2 linked regions of the Stegostoma tigrinum genome follow. Each later gene encodes a partner of the first gene's protein in a complex. Links are inferred from orthologs where the notes say so. Each region holds a gene or a part of one and is shown in the gene's direction. Other genes may lie near its edges.

What was found.
Region 2: E3 ubiquitin-protein ligase Hakai (region 1) and mettl14 share a complex: the UniProt entries of both Homo sapiens proteins name them as parts of the WMM complex. The link is inferred for Stegostoma tigrinum from reciprocal best matches to the Homo sapiens genes CBLL1 and METTL14.

Annotation. Positions count from the first base shown.
Region 1 is NC_081378.1:53,898,266-53,906,118, reverse strand, and holds the start of E3 ubiquitin-protein ligase Hakai, read left to right. Parts: upstream 1-4,833; 5' UTR 4,834-4,866; coding exon 4,867-4,876; intron 4,877-4,974; exon of another isoform or gene 4,975-5,082; intron 5,083-7,817; coding exon 7,818-7,853. UniProt on the Homo sapiens protein: E3 ubiquitin-protein ligase that mediates ubiquitination of several tyrosine-phosphorylated Src substrates, including CDH1, CTTN and DOK1. Targets CDH1 for endocytosis and degradation.
Region 2 is NC_081354.1:67,559,281-67,566,606, forward strand, and holds the start of mettl14 (N6-adenosine-methyltransferase non-catalytic subunit), read left to right. Parts: upstream 1-4,274; 5' UTR 4,275-4,622; coding exon 4,623-4,688; intron 4,689-7,326. UniProt on the Homo sapiens protein: The METTL3-METTL14 heterodimer forms a N6-methyltransferase complex that methylates adenosine residues at the N(6) position of some mRNAs and regulates the circadian clock, differentiation of embryonic stem cells and cortical neurogenesis.

The DNA of each region.
Region 1 (7,853 bases):
CCACGTCTCTCTTTCTATTTCTCCTCTCTTACATCTCTCACTCCACCTCTCCCCGTCTATTTCTCCTCTCTTGCACTCTTTCACTCCACCTCTCTCTCGACTTCTCCTCTCTTGCACTCTCTCACTCCATCTCTCTCTATTTCTCCTCTCTCGCGCTCTCTCACTCCACCTCTCTCTCTCTCTCCCTCCATTTCTCCTCTCTTGCACTCGCTCACTCCATCTCTATTTCTCCTCTCTTGCACTCTCTCACTCCACCTCTCTGTCTCTCCACTTCTCCTCACTTGCACTCTCTCACTCCACCTCTCACTCTCTCTATTTCTCCTCTCTTGCATCTCTAACTCCACCTCTCTCCACGTCTATTTCTTCTCTCTTGCACTCTCTCACTCCATCTTTCTCTCTCTCTCGCTCTATTTCCCCTCTCTCGTACTCTCTAACTCCACCTCTCTCTCTATTTCTCCTCTCTTGCATCTCTCACTCGACCTCTCTCTCTCTATTTCTCCTCTCTTGCACTCTCTCACACCACCTCTATTTCTCCTCTCTTGCACTCTCTCACACCACCTCTCTCTATTTCTTCTCTCTTGCATGTCTCACTCCACGTCCCTCTCTCTCTATTGCTCCTCTCTTGCACTCCCTCACTCCACCCCTCTCTCTCTCTATTTCTCCTCTCTTGCACTCTCTCACACCACCTCTCTCTCTCTCTCTATTTCTCCTCTCTTGCATTCTATCACACCATCACTCTCTGTTTCTCCTCTCTTGCATCTCTCACTCCACCTCTCTCTCTCCCTCTCTCTGTATTTCTCCTCCCTTGCATCTCTCACTCCACCTCTCCCCGTGTATTTCTCCTCTCTCGCACTCTCTCACTCCACCCCTCTCTCTCTATTTCTCCTCTCTTGCATACTCTCACTCCACCTCACTCTCTATTTCTCCTCTCTTGCACTCTCTCACTCCACCTCTCTCTCTGTCTCTATTTCTCCTCTCCTGCACTCTCTCACTCCACCTCTCTCTATTTTTCCTCTCTTGCGCTCTCACTCCATCTCTCTCTCTCTCTATTTCTCCTCACTCGCACTCTCTCACTCAATCTCTCTCTCTCTCCACTTCTCCTCTCTTGCACTCTCTCACTCCACCTCTCTCTCTCTCTCTCTCTATTTCTCCTCTCTTGCATCTCTCACGCCACCTCTCTCTCTCTCTATTTCTCCTCTCTTGCACTCTCTCACTCAACCTCTCTCTCTCTATTTCTCCTCTCTTGCATCTCTCACTCCACCTCTCCCCGTGTATTTCTCCTCTATTGCACTCTCTCACTCCACCTCTCTATTTCTAATCTCTAGCACTCTCTCACTCCACCTCTCTCTCTCTATTACACCTCTCTTGCACTCTCTCACTCCACCTCTCTCTCTCTCTATTTCTCCTCTCTTGCACTCCCTCACTCCATCTCTCTCTCGCTCTCTATTACACCTCTCTTGCACTCTCTCACTCCACCCCTCTCTGTCTATTTCTCCTCTCTTGCACTCTCTCACTCCACCTCTCTCTCTCTATTTCTCCCCTCTTGCACTCTCTCACTCCACCTCTCTCTCTCAACTTCTCCTCTCTTGCACTCTCTCACTCCATCTTTCTCTATTTCTCCTCTCTTGCATCTCTCACGCCACCTCTCTCTCTCTCTCTCTCTATTTCTTCTCTCTTGCACTCTCTCACTCCATCTCTCTCTATTTCTCCTCTCTTGCACTCTCTCACTCCACCTCTCCCCCTCTATTTCTCCTCTCTTGCATCTCTCACTCCACCTCTCTCCCCCTCTATTTCTTCTCTCCTGCACTCTCTCACTCCATCCCTCTCTCTCTATTTCTCCTCTCTTGCATCTCTCACTCCACCTCTCTCCCCCTCTATTTCTTCTCTCTTGCACTCTCTCACTCCACCTCTCTCTCTCTCTATTTCTGCTCTCTTGCACTCGGTCACTCCATCTCTCTCTATTTCTCCTCTCTTGCACTCTCTCACTCCACCTCTCCCCCTCTATTTCTCCTCTCTTGCACTCTCTCTGTCTCTCCACTTCTCCTCTCTTGCACTCTCTCACTCCACCTCTCCCCCTCTATTTCTCCTCTCTTGCACTCTGTCTCTCCACTTCTCCTCTCTTGCACTCTCTCACTCCACCTCTTTATATTTCTTCTCTCTTGCATGTCTCACTCCACCTCCCTCTCTCTCTATTTCTCCTCACTTGCACTCTCTCACTCCATCTCTCTCTATTTCTCCTCTCTCGCGCTCTCTCACTCCACCTCTCTCTCTCTATTTCTCCTCTCTTGCACTCTCTCACTCCATCTCGCTCTCTCTCTCCCTCCATTTCTCCTCTCTTGCACTCGCTCACTCCACCTCTCTGTCTCTCCACTTCTCCTCACTTGCATTCTCTCACTCCACCTCTCACTCTCTCTATTTCTCCTCTCTTGCATCTCTAACTCCACCTCTCTCCACCTCTATTTCTTCTCTCTTGCACTCTCTCACTCCATCTCTCTCTCTCGCTCTATTTCTCCTCTCTCGCACTCTCTCACTCCACTTCTCTCTCTCTCTCTATTTCTCCTCACGCACTCTCACAGTCCACCTCTCTCTCTCTCTCTCTCTCTATTTCTCCTCTCTTGCATCTCTCACTCGACCTCTCTCTCTCTATTTCTCCTCTCTTGCATCTCTCACTCGACCTCTCTCTCTCTACTTCTCCTCTCTTGCACTCTCTCACTCCAGCTCTCTCTCTCTCTCTCTCTCTCTCTATTTCTCCTCTCTTGCACTCTCTCACACCACCTCTCTCTATTTCTTCTCTCTTGCATGTCTCACTCCACGTCCCTCTCTCTCTCTATTGCTCCTCTCTTGCACTCCCTCACTCCACCTCTCTCTCTCTCTATTTCTCCTCTCTTGCGCTCTCTCACTCCACCTCTCTCTCTATTTCTCCTCTCTTGCATCTCTCACTCCACCTCTCTCTCTCTATTTCTCTTCGCTTGCACTCTCTCACTCGAGCTCTCAGCCTCTATTTCTCCTCTCTTGCACTCTCTCACTCCACCTCTCTCTACTTCTCCTCTCTTGCACTCTCTCACTCCAGCTCTCTCACTCTCTCTATTTCTCCTCTCTCGCACTCTCTCACTCCACCTCACTCTCTGTCCATTTCTCCTCTCTTCCACTCTCTCACTCCACCCCTCTCTCTCTATTTCTCATCTCTTGCACTCTCTCACTCCACCTCTCCCCCTCTATTTCTCCTCTCTTGCACTCTCTGTCTCTCCACTTCTCCTCTCTTGCACTCTCTCACTCCACCTCTTTATATTTCTTCTCTCTTGCATGTCTCACTCCACCTCCCTCTCTCTCTATTTCTCCTCACTTGCACTCTCTCACTCCACCTCTCTCTCGCTATTTCTCCTCACCTGCACTCGCTCACTCCACGTCTCTCTTTCTATTTCTCCTCTCTTACATCTCTCACTCCACCTCTCCCCGTCTATTTCTCCTCTCTTGCACTCTTTCACTCCACCTCTCTCTCGACTTCTCCTCTCTTGCACTCTCTCACTCCATCTCTCTCTATTTCTCCTCTCTCGCGCTCTCTCACTCCACCTCTCTCTCTCTCTCCCTCCATTTCTCCTCTCTTGCACTCGCTCACTCCATCTCTATTTCTCCTCTCTTGCACTCTCTCACTCCACCTCTCTGTCTCTCCACTTCTCCTCACTTGCACTCTCTCACTCCACCTCTCACTCTCTCTATTTCTCCTCTCTTGCACTCTCTCACTCAACCTCTCTCTCTCTATTTCTCCTCTCTTGCATCTCTCACTCCACCTCTCCCCGTGTATTTCTCCTCTATTGCACTCTCTCACTCCACCTCTCTATTTCTAATCTCTAGCACTCTCTCACTCCACCTCTCTCTCTCTATTACACCTCTCTTGCACTCTCTCACTCCACCTCTCTCTCTCTCTATTTCTCCTCTCTTGCACTCCCTCACTCCATCTCTCTCTCGCTCTCTATTACACCTCTCTTGCACTCTCTCACTCCACCCCTCTCTGTCTATTTCTCCTCTCTTGCACTCTCTCACTCCACCTCTCTCTCTCTATTTCTCCCCTCTTGCACTCTCTCACTCCACCTCTCTCTCTCAACTTCTCCTCTCTTGCACTCTCTCACTCCATCTTCCTCTATTTCTCCTCTCTTGCATCTCTCACGCCACCTCTCTCTCTATCTATTTCTCCTCTCTTGCACTCTTTCACTCCACCTCTCTCTCTATTTCTCCTCTCTTGCACTCTCTCACTCCATCTCTCTCTATGTCTCCTCTCTTGCACCGTCTCACTGCACCTCTCTCTTTATGTCTCCTCTCGCGCTCTCTCACTCCACCTCTCTCTCTATTTCTTCTGTCGCACTCTCGCACTCCACCTCTCCCTCCCTCTCTTGTCTCCCCCCCCCCCCTCCCCCTCCCCCTCCCCCCCCTCCCCCTCCCCCCCCTCCCCCTCCCCCTCCCCCCCCCCTCCCCCCCCCCCCCCCCCTCCCCCCCCCCCCCTCCCCCTCCCCCCCCCCTCCCCCTCCCCCTCCCCCCCCCCCCCTCCCCCTCCCCCTCCCCCCCCCCCCCTCCCCCCCCCCCCCCCCTCCCCCTCCCCCTCCCCCTCCCCCCCCCCCCTCCCCCCCCCCCTCCTCCCCCCCCCTCCCCCCCCCCCCTCCTCCCCCCCCCTCCCCCCCCCCCCTCCTCCCCCTCCCTCCCCCCCCCCCCTCCTCCCCCCCCCTCCCCCCCCCTCCTCCCCTCCTCCCCCCCCCTCCCCCCCCCTCCTCCCCCCCCCTCGTGTGTATTGCTGCGGTTCTCCCCGCCCCGTCCCGTCTCTTGTTGCCCCGGTGACCCTCACCACGCCCCCAATCCCACAATGCTCCTCTCACCATGGATCAGGGTAATGGACGTTTTTCTCCCGCTTTCCCTTCCTCTCTCGCTTTTCCTTTCTTCTTCGCGCCGGGTTTGGGCCCCGTGCGTTCTCTCCGGTTGCTGCGGGAGGCGAGTCTGTCAACGCGCCCGACTGTGAGTAACCTCCGGCTGGAGCGGGACTGAGGCGGCTTGACGATTACTCGAGAGCGGCCTAAACCGCCCGGAGTCCCCGCGGTAAAGTGCCGGACCGCCTGTCGCTGTGATCACCACTCCCCTCCTTCCTCCCATGCACTCTCTACACCTTGATTATCCCCATCGCCCTGATCTTGCTCCGACACCCTGATCATCGCCTACTCTCATCCCACCCCCCCCGCACTCCTTCATCTTCCCCCCTCACCTCCCCCCCCCACTCCCTCACCTCCCCCCCCACTCCCTCACCTCCCCCCCCACTCCCTCACCTCCCCCCCCCAACTCCCTCACCTCCCCCCCCCACTCCCTCACCTCCCCCCCCCACTCCCTCACCTCCCCCCCCCACTCCCTCACCTCCCCCCCCCACTCCCTCACCTCCCCCCCCCACTCCCTCACCTCCCCCCCCCACTCCCTCACCTCCCCCCCCCCACTCCCTCACCTCCCCCCCCCACTCCCTCACCTCCCCCCCCCACTCCCTCACCTCCCCCCCCCTCCCTCACCTCCCCCCCCCACTCCCTCACCTCCCCCCCCACTCCCTCACCTCCCCCCCCACTCCCTCACCTCCCCCCCCACTCCCTCACCTCCCCCCCCACTCCCTCACCTCCCCCCACTCCCTCACCTCCCCCCACTCCCTCACCTCCCCCCACTCCCTCACCTCCCCCCACTCCCTCACCTCCCCCCACTCCCTCATCTCCCCCCACTCCCTCATCTCCCCCCACTCCCTCATCTCACCCCCCTCCCCCTCCTCACCTACCCCCCTCCCCCTCCTCACCCCCCCTCCCCCTCATCTCACCCCCCCTCCCCCTCATCTCACCCCCCCTCCCCCTCATCTCACCCCCCCTCCCCCTCATCTCACCCCCCCTCCCCCTCATCTCACCCCCCCTCCCCCTCATCTCACCCCCCCTCCCCCTCATCTCACTCCCCCTCCCCCTCATCTCACCCCCCCTCCCCCTCATCTCACCCCCCCTCCCCCTCATCTCACCCCCCCTCCCCCTCATCTCACCCCCCCTCCCCCTCATCTCACCCCCCCTCCCCCTCATCTCACCCCCCCTCCCCCTCATCTCACCTCCCCCTCCCCCTCACCCCCCCTCCCCCTCATCTCACCCCCCCCTCATCTCACCCCCCCCTCATCTCACCCCCCCTCCCCCTCATCTCACCCCCCCTCCCCCTCATCTCACCCCCCCTCCCCCTCATCTCACCCCCCCTCCCCCTCATCTCACCCCCCCTCCCCCTCATCTCACCCCCCCTCCCCCTCATCTCACCCCCCCTCCCCCTCATCTCACCCCCCCTACCCCTCATCTCACCCCCCCTACCCCTCATCTCACCCCCCCTACCCCTCATCTCACCCCCCCTACCCCTCATCTCACCCCCCCTACCCCTCATCTCACCCCCCCTCCCCCTCATCTCACCCCCCCTCCCCCTCATCTCACCCCCCCTCCCCCTCATCTCACCCCCCCTACCCCTCATCTCACCCCCCCTACCCCTCATCTCACCCCCCCTACCCCTCATCTCACCCCCCTCCCCCTCATCTCCCCCCCTCCCCCTCATCTCCCCCCCCCTCCCCCTCATCTCCCCCCCCTCCCCCTCATCTCCCCCCCCCCCCTCATCTCCCTCCCTCCCCCTCATCTCCCCCCCCCACTCCCTCATCTCCCCCCCCACTCCCTCATCTCCCCCCCCCACTCCCTCATCTCCCCCCCCCACTCCCTCATCTCCCCCCCCACTCCCTCATCTCCCCCCCCCCACTCCCTCATCTCCCCCCCCCCACTCCCTCATCTCCCCCCCCCCACTCCCTCATCTCCCCCCCCCCACTCCCTCATCTCCCCCCCCCCACTCCCTCATCTCCCCCCCCCCCACTCCCTCCTCTCCCCCCCCCACTCCCTCCTCTCCCCCCCACTCCCTCCTCTCCCCCCCACTCCCTCCTCTCCCCCCCACTCCCTCATCTCCCCCCCCCACTCCCTCATCTCCCCCCCCCACTCCCTCATCTCCCCCCCCACTCCCTCCTCTCCCCCCCCACTCCCTCCTCTCCCCCCCCACTCCCTCCTCTCCCCCCCACTCCCTCCTCTCCCCCCCCACTCCCTCCTCTCCCCCCCCACTCCCTCCTCTCCCCCCCCCACTCCCTCCTCTCCCCCCCCACTCCCTCCTCTCCCCCCCCACTCCCTCCTCTCCCCCCCCACTCCCTCCTCTCCCCCCCCACTCCCTCCTCTCCCCCCCCACTCCCTCCTCTCCCCCCCCACTCCCTCATCTCCCCCCCCCACTCCCTCATCTCCCCCCCCCCACTCCCTCATCTCCCCCCCCCCACTCCCTCATCTCCCCCCCCCCACTCCCTCATCTCCCCCCCCCACTCCCTCATCTCCCCCCCCCACTCCCTCATCTCCCCCCCCCACTCCCTCATCTCCCCCCCCACTCCCTCATCTCCCCCCCCACTCCCTCATCTCCCCCCCCACTCCCTCATCTCCCCCCCCCACTCCCTCATCTCCCCCCCCCCACTCCCTCATCTCCCCCGATCTCCTTCCCACCCGCTGATCCCCACCCTGATCCCCCCCGACCCCACCCTGATCCCCCCCCGACTCCTCTTCCCTCACCCTTGTATAGCCCTCTCCCTCTTCCACGATGCCCTCTTATCCCACTTTCTCCCCTGCACCCTTTCCCCCAGACCCCTCCCATACCCTACCCTACCCATTCTTTCCTCCCCCCTTTGCACTCCCCCACCTCCAGCCGCCAGTATTGCGCATAAGCAGAAAGTCATGTATTTAAGACGTTTTTTGTTTTATTTTCAAAAGATAAAGATCTGCAAGGCACAGATGGTTCTGGATGTC
Region 2 (7,326 bases), on another chromosome or scaffold:
TACATCACATGCTCTTATAAAAATCCAGTCCTTGGATTATAATAGGTTGCAAACTAGCCACCTACATGGATGGTGTGGATGGAGTGTTCTTGGCACTGCCTTCAGCCAAGGAAGCATTCATTAAAGCTTTGATGGATCAGAAAATAAAATAAGCCACTCGAAGAATAACAGACACACAAATGTTGATCTATTTGCATTTTACCAGAACATTGATGTTAGCAGACCAAGTGCCATTGTACAGTTGACAAAATAGTTTACTGCTCTCAAGAAACAGGCTAAACAATATTATTATTATGCTACTCCTACACTGCCTGGTCTCCTGTGTAAGGCAACTATAAATAGGCTACACCTTCAATGCTCTTGGTGTGATATTAGAAATCCTTTGGAGATAAAAGTTAAATCCATTGGGCCATGAACTTTAGAAAACATGTAACATCAGCACTATATAACAGCGGGAGAATTTGACTGAGTACTCAAGAAGAAAACATCAAATAGCTTTAAAAATAGGAATTTAGTTGATTGACTGGGCAAATGATGAGCTGTGGGAGTGTAAGTGTTTTATTCATTCAAGACATACCATGACTGCTGATTTAACATTTTTAGGCTATCTATTCTCAATAATTATCTGTTACGCATAGGGAATGTACAACTATACAAAATAGTATCTGGTTTGTTGAACAAGAAGTTTCATTTATTAGTACATTTGAAAGTTTTCAAGTTTTCCTTTAAACAAAATATAATCTTTATCCTGGAACTTTTTTTTTGGTTTTGGTAAGCAAATGGACTTCCAAAGCAAGGAGCTCAATTTGATGGCTGTAAAACAGCATATTCCTCATTTCACACTTCCAGGAGCAGTGCAGAATTCCATATGGAGTAAGGCTCTCAGCTACACTGACAAACCAGACATGGGTGAGGTTAATAAGACAAGCAGGGGACGCTTGATGATACAGGTGATATGTCTGGACCTCAAACATATGAAACTCTGAATGACAGAGGGTGCTTGCTCACTACTTCTGGAGTGGAGCAAAGAATTAGGACTGAGAACAAACTTATTACAGTTCAACTGTGGTAAGTCTGGTCAGAGACATGACAAAAATTAAGTCAGTACAAAAAATCATGGTGGCCAGAATGAACCCAGGAAGAGCAGGTATAAACAATTTTTTTTTGCTACTTTTCTCACATTTAATTACCTTATGATCGCCACGTGATTGATAATATCACTTTGGATCCACAGGATCCATTCACTTATAAAACAACACAACTTTGGGATTACATAGAATAAAACAAATACATTTTATTCAGATGTGTGACTCTTGACTGACAACCTATGCAATCTATGCTTTATTCCTACTGACACAATCTTTATGATGGTGGTTATTCACTTACGAAAGAGAACAAAACACAGTTTCACTGTATTCCACATGCATGCCCCGCACATCATAAGCCAATCTCCTCATCCCATCACTACTGCACTCTTAACTGCTATGTTGCACCCAACTTGTTCAATTAGAATAAATTCTCATTTACTTAAAATAACGATAAGGTAATGAAAAATGAACAGTGGCATGTGTTAAAACATTGGATACCAGTATCTTAAAACTGCAAACAAAAACCCACAAGAAATAGCAACATAAAAACAGGTCGTTTAACATGTTGTGTCTGTGTTGGTTGTTGAAATAGGTCCTCACTTTCTGTTCATTACCTTTTATCTCATCTTCAATTTTTTTTTGTTTATGAGATAGTTTTTGAAAGTTTGATTAGGAGCAAGCCTGCATCAAATGTTCAGGTGAAACATTTCACATCTTGGCAACTATATGTGAAAATACTCTCCTCTTTCTTTTTAGTTCTTTTGGAAATGATATTAAGCGCACCACAGTCACCAAGCTGAGAAGGTTTTTTGTTGTTCAATTTTAACAAGCGTCACATCATCTTGAAAACCCCTAAGATCATAATCATCTCTATTGGGGAGGACCATCATAACTGCACCAAGTTTTTCTCAAAACCAAAATCCTCCAACCTTCCCAGCAAACAGGTAAAGCTTAGTTTACCCTTTTTAAGGCCTCTTTCTTGAAATGTAGTGTTCAGAGTGATCCACAATGCCCCAGGTGAGGTCAAACTGGAGGTTTATTGAGACCTACAATTAACTATTTGTTGTTGTTTGCTATATGTTTATTGTATATGAGACTGAACTTTATTAAAATACAGACAAGCTCATTTCATGTTGTGAAACTCATTGAAATACTCTACACGCAGATCTACAATAATCACTGATATAAGATAACAAAGTGTGGGGCTGGATGAACACAGCAGGCCAAGCAGCATCTTAGGAGCACAAAAGCTGATGTTTCGGGCCTGGACCCTTCATCAGAGAGGGGGATGGGGAGAGGATTCTGAAATAAATAGGGAGAGAGGGCAAGGCGGACTGAAGATGGATAGAGGATAAGATAGGTAGAGAAGAAAGTATGGGTGGGAAGGTAGGAAGGGGATAGGTCAGTCCAGGGAGGACGGACAGGTCAAGGGGTTGGGATGAGGTTAGTAGGCAGGAAATGGAGGTGCGGCTTGAGGTGGGAGGAGGGGATAGGTGAGAGGAAGAACAGGTTAGGCAGGCGGGGAAGAGCTTGGCTGGTTTTGGGATGCAGTGGGGGAATTGGAGATTTTGAAGCTGGTGAAATCCACATTGATGCCATTGGGTTCCCAAGCGGAATATGAGTTGCTGTTCCTGCAACCTACGGGTGGCATCATTATGGCACTGCACGAGGCCCAGGATGGACATGTCGACTTAAGGAATGGGAGGGGGAGTTAAAATGGTTCGTGACTGGGAGGTGCAGTTGTTTCCTGCGAACCGAGCGGAGGTGTTATGCAAAGCAGTCTCCAAGCCTCCACTTGGTTTCCCCAATGTAGAGGAAGCCACAACGGGTACAGTGGATGCAGTATACCACATTGGCGGATGTGCAGGTGAGCGTCTGCTTGATGTGGAAAGTCTTCTTGGGGCCTGGAATGGGCGTGAGGGAGATGGTGTGAGGGTAGGTGTAGCACTTCCTGCGGTTGCAGGGGCAAGTGTCTGGTGTGGTGGGGTTGGAGGGGAGTGTGGAGCGGACAAGGGGGTCGTGGTCTCTCCAGAAGGCAGACAAGGGTGGGGTGGAAAAAATGTCTTTAGTGGGTGGGGTCGGATTGTAGATGGCGGAAGTGTTGGAGGATGATGTGCTGTATCCAGAGGTTGGTGGGGTGGTACGTGAGGACTAGGGGGATTGTCTTATGGCGGTTATTGCAAGGGCAAGGTGTGGGGGATGAGGTGCAGGAAATGCGGGAGGCACGGTTGAGGGCATTTTCGACCACTCCGGGAGAGAAGTTGCAGACCTTGAAGAACAAGGACATCTGGGATGTGCAGGAGTGGAATGCCTCATCCTGGGAGCAGATGCGGCGGAGGCGAAGCAATTGGGAATAGGGGATGAAATTTTTGCAGGAAGGCGGGTGGGAGGAAGTGTATTCCAGGTAGCTGTGGGAGTCAGTGGGCTTGAAATGGACATCGGTTTGTAGGTGGTTGCCTGAGATGGAGACAGAAAGGTCCAGGAAGGTAAGGGATGTGTTGGAGATGGTCCAGGTGAACTTGAGGTTGGGGTGGCAGGTGTTGGGGAAATGGATAAACTGTTCGAGCTCCTCTGGGTAGCATGAGGCAGTGTCGATACAGTCATCAATGTAACGGAGGAAAAGGTGGGGTTTTGGGCCAGTGTAGGTGCGAAAGGGGGACTGTTCCACATAACCTACAAAGAGGCAGGTGTATGGGCACCCCCTTATTCTGTAAGAAGTGGGAGGAATCGAAAGAGAAGTTGTTGAGGCTGAGGTCGAGTTCGGCTAGGCAGCTGAGGGTTTCGGTGGAGGGGGACTGGTCCGGTCTACGGGACAGGAAGATGCGGAGGGTCTTAAGGTCATCTGCATAGGGAATGCAGGTGTATAGGGACTGGACGTCCATGGTGAAAATGAGGTGTTGGGGACTGGGGAATTGGAAGCGTTGCCCTTAACAGCATCCATTCCAGCTCACAAACCCATCTGCGGACACGGCTCCGCCGACACATATACCGCCACGCCCACACATACCCGGGGGAGCTGACACATACTCGACCACGCCCACATAGGCACCCACGCCCACACACCCTGCTGCGCCGACACATACTCGACTACGCCCACACAGACAACCACACACACACACCCGACCACGCCCACACACGCTCCGCTCCGCACGAACAGACTCGGCACCGTTTACACATACGCGGTCTGCCTATAAGTGGATAAGAGGGTCTCTGATGAAGGGTCTAGGCCCGAAACGTCAGCTTTTGTGCTCCTGCGATGCTGCTTAGCCTGCTGTGTTCATCCAGCCTCACATTTTATTGTCTTGGATTCTCCAGCATCTGCAGTTCCCATTATCTCTGCCTATAAGTGGTACCACCCACAACGACTCGGCCCTGCCCCTGTTTTACCGAGACCCGCCCCTGCGCTTACCGCCACGGCCGCCCCGCTCTGCGGTGTTACGTCGTGGCGTGCACCGCTGGAAGTGATGTAGAAACTTGGTCGCGCGGACGGAAGGTCAGATCCGGTGAGGGGGTGGGGTGTGCGGGCTACCGACTATGGACAGCCGTTTGCAGGAGATCCGAGAGCGGCAGAAACGGCGGCGTGAACTGTTAGCCCAGCAGGTGAGAGCCATTGTCTTCACACCCCCGGTGACAGTATTCCCGGGAGCACTTCAGATCCAGCGCCTGGTTTAAAAGGAGCGATCAGTTTAGGTACATCTGAGGCCGGGCTTCGGTGAGGCCGGCACAGGAGGTCGTTCATTCCACGGTGTTTGCACTAAATCTCAAAAAGAGCGATTCACCTGGCTTCTTTGTTCTGTCTGTAACCCTCCACGTAACCGTCCATCTCCCTTTCGGAAATTTCGATTGAACCTACCCGTTTTTTATTTCATTATTGTCATATCTATCTAAGTACAGGTGAAAAATTTTGTTTTTCGTGTCTTACGGCAGATCACAACATTAAAAGATACAAGGGTCATAGGGTGATTGAACAGAATGAGGAATGCAAAGTTACAGCTGCAAAGAAGGTGTGCAAAAGTAAGGTTAACACTAGATTTGAAGTTTGAGTTCCATTCACCTGTGTAATAAAGACAGGGGAAAAATGCTGTTCTTGAACCTGTTGATATATATGTTTAATGTGTTGTATCTTCTGAGGTTGGAAGAGAGTATAACTGGTGTAGGAGGGGTGTTTGATGTTGGCTGCTTTTCTGCGGCATTGCGAGTAGATGGAGTCAGTGGATGGAAGGTTGGCTTGTGTGATGGCCTGACCTGTATTCACAACTTAGTGTAGTTTCTTACAGTTCTAGGCACAGCAGTTGATGTGCTAAGCCATGATGCGTTCAGATAGAATGTTTTCTGTGGTGCATTTGTAAAGGTTGGTGAAGGTCCTTAAGGACTTGCTGAATTCCCTTAGCCTTCTGAGGAAGAAGAGGTGTTTTGCCACCTTGACTGCTGCATGAATTCATGCAGTCCAAGATGGATTGTTGGTTATGTTCTCTCCTAGGAAGTTGATGCTGTTACCCACCTCCATTGATGTAGATGTGTTCTCCTTGCTTTCTGAAGTCAATGATCAGCTCTTTAGTTTTGCTGACAGTAAGGGAAAGATTATCTTTGCACCATGTCACTGATTACTGTGTTCCTTTCCTGTATTGTATCTCATTGTTTTTTGATATTCAGCCTAATATGGTGGTGGTGTCAGCAAACTTGTTGATGGACTTCCTCAGGAGGCTAAGGGAATTTGGCAAGTCCTTAAGGACCCTCACCAACCTTTACAAATGCACCCAGGGAGTGGTGAGCCTGTGGAATTCACTACCATAAAGTGTTTGAGGCCAAAACATTGTATTTTCTAGAAGGAGGTAGAAATAGCGCTTGTAGCTGAAGGAATCGAGGAAAATGGGGGGAAAGATGGGATTATGGTAATGAACTTGATGACCAGCCGTAATCACGTTGAATGACGAAACATGCTTGAGGGGTTGAATGACTTCCCTTATGCACCTTCTGTGTTTTTGTGCAACTCCTATCTCTACAGATGCTGCCAAACCTGCTCAATTCCTCTGTACTTTTTTCAATTTGAATCAATCTATCTGCTGCTTTTGATAAGTCATCCAGTTGAGTGGTGCCTGCTGTCATTTGGTTTCATTCTTAATCGCACCTAAGGAACCACTCGAATGGTTTCTCTTCCTGCTCCAATCATTACTGCTGGTGTTCCTTAATGATCCTTCTTTGTTCCCCTTTGTACTGGCTGCTGCCTCTTGATGATATAATGTGAAAGCACATAAATGTTTCGCTTCCGCTCCTATACTCAGCTCTATCTTCCATCATCTCTTATGACTATCTACTGTGAGCTGCTCCTTCAACATCCAGTCCTGGATAAACAGGAAATTCCTCCAGTGAAGTATGTGGGATACTTAAACTAAGGTCTTCTGTCCTGACTACAAACTCCGTTCCCAATCCAAACACACCATTGCTCTCGCTGATAACTGTTTTTGTCCTTGGTTTGTTTAAACCCATGATGAACTTTTTAATTGCACATCTCTAAAACACCTACTTCCGTATTCCATGATATTGACTGTTTCAGCATCTGCCCCTTCCCCCACTCACATCTGCTGAAACTGTGCTCGTTTCTTTGTTATCAGTAGGCTTGACTATTCTCTCTTGTAAGTTCTTTCTGTAAAGTGTCTGCAGAATTTTGAATGTCATCAGATTTCCCAGTTAGTATGACATCTTGTTGATCACCCTGTCATTGCCAACCAACATTGGCTCCTAGTTAAACCAACTTTTACAGTGTTCATCCTTGTTATCGCTGAATGGCCTTGGCTCTTTCTGCCTTCTCTTCATCCGATCCATAACCCTTTGAGTTATCTGCATTACTCTCCTGGCCTTTTGTACATCTCATTTTTAATCACTCCTGCAGTGGTATTATTGCTAGACTGTTAATCCAAAGACCCTGGTAATGGTATAGGGAAGCTGCATTCAAATCCCACCATGACAGATGGTGGAATTTGAATTGAATAAATATCTGGAATTAAGAATCTAAAGATGACTGTGAATCCACTGTCATTTGTCAGGAAAAAAAAATCCAGTTCACTAAAGTCCTTTAGGAAAGGAAACTACCACCCTGACCTGGTCTAGCTTACATGTGATTCCATATCCACAGCAATGCTGTTGATTCTTAACTGCCCTCTGGGAAATTAGGGATGGGCAGTAAATACTGACCTAGTGTCCTAGCCAGAGATGCCCTCATCCCATGAACGAATAAATG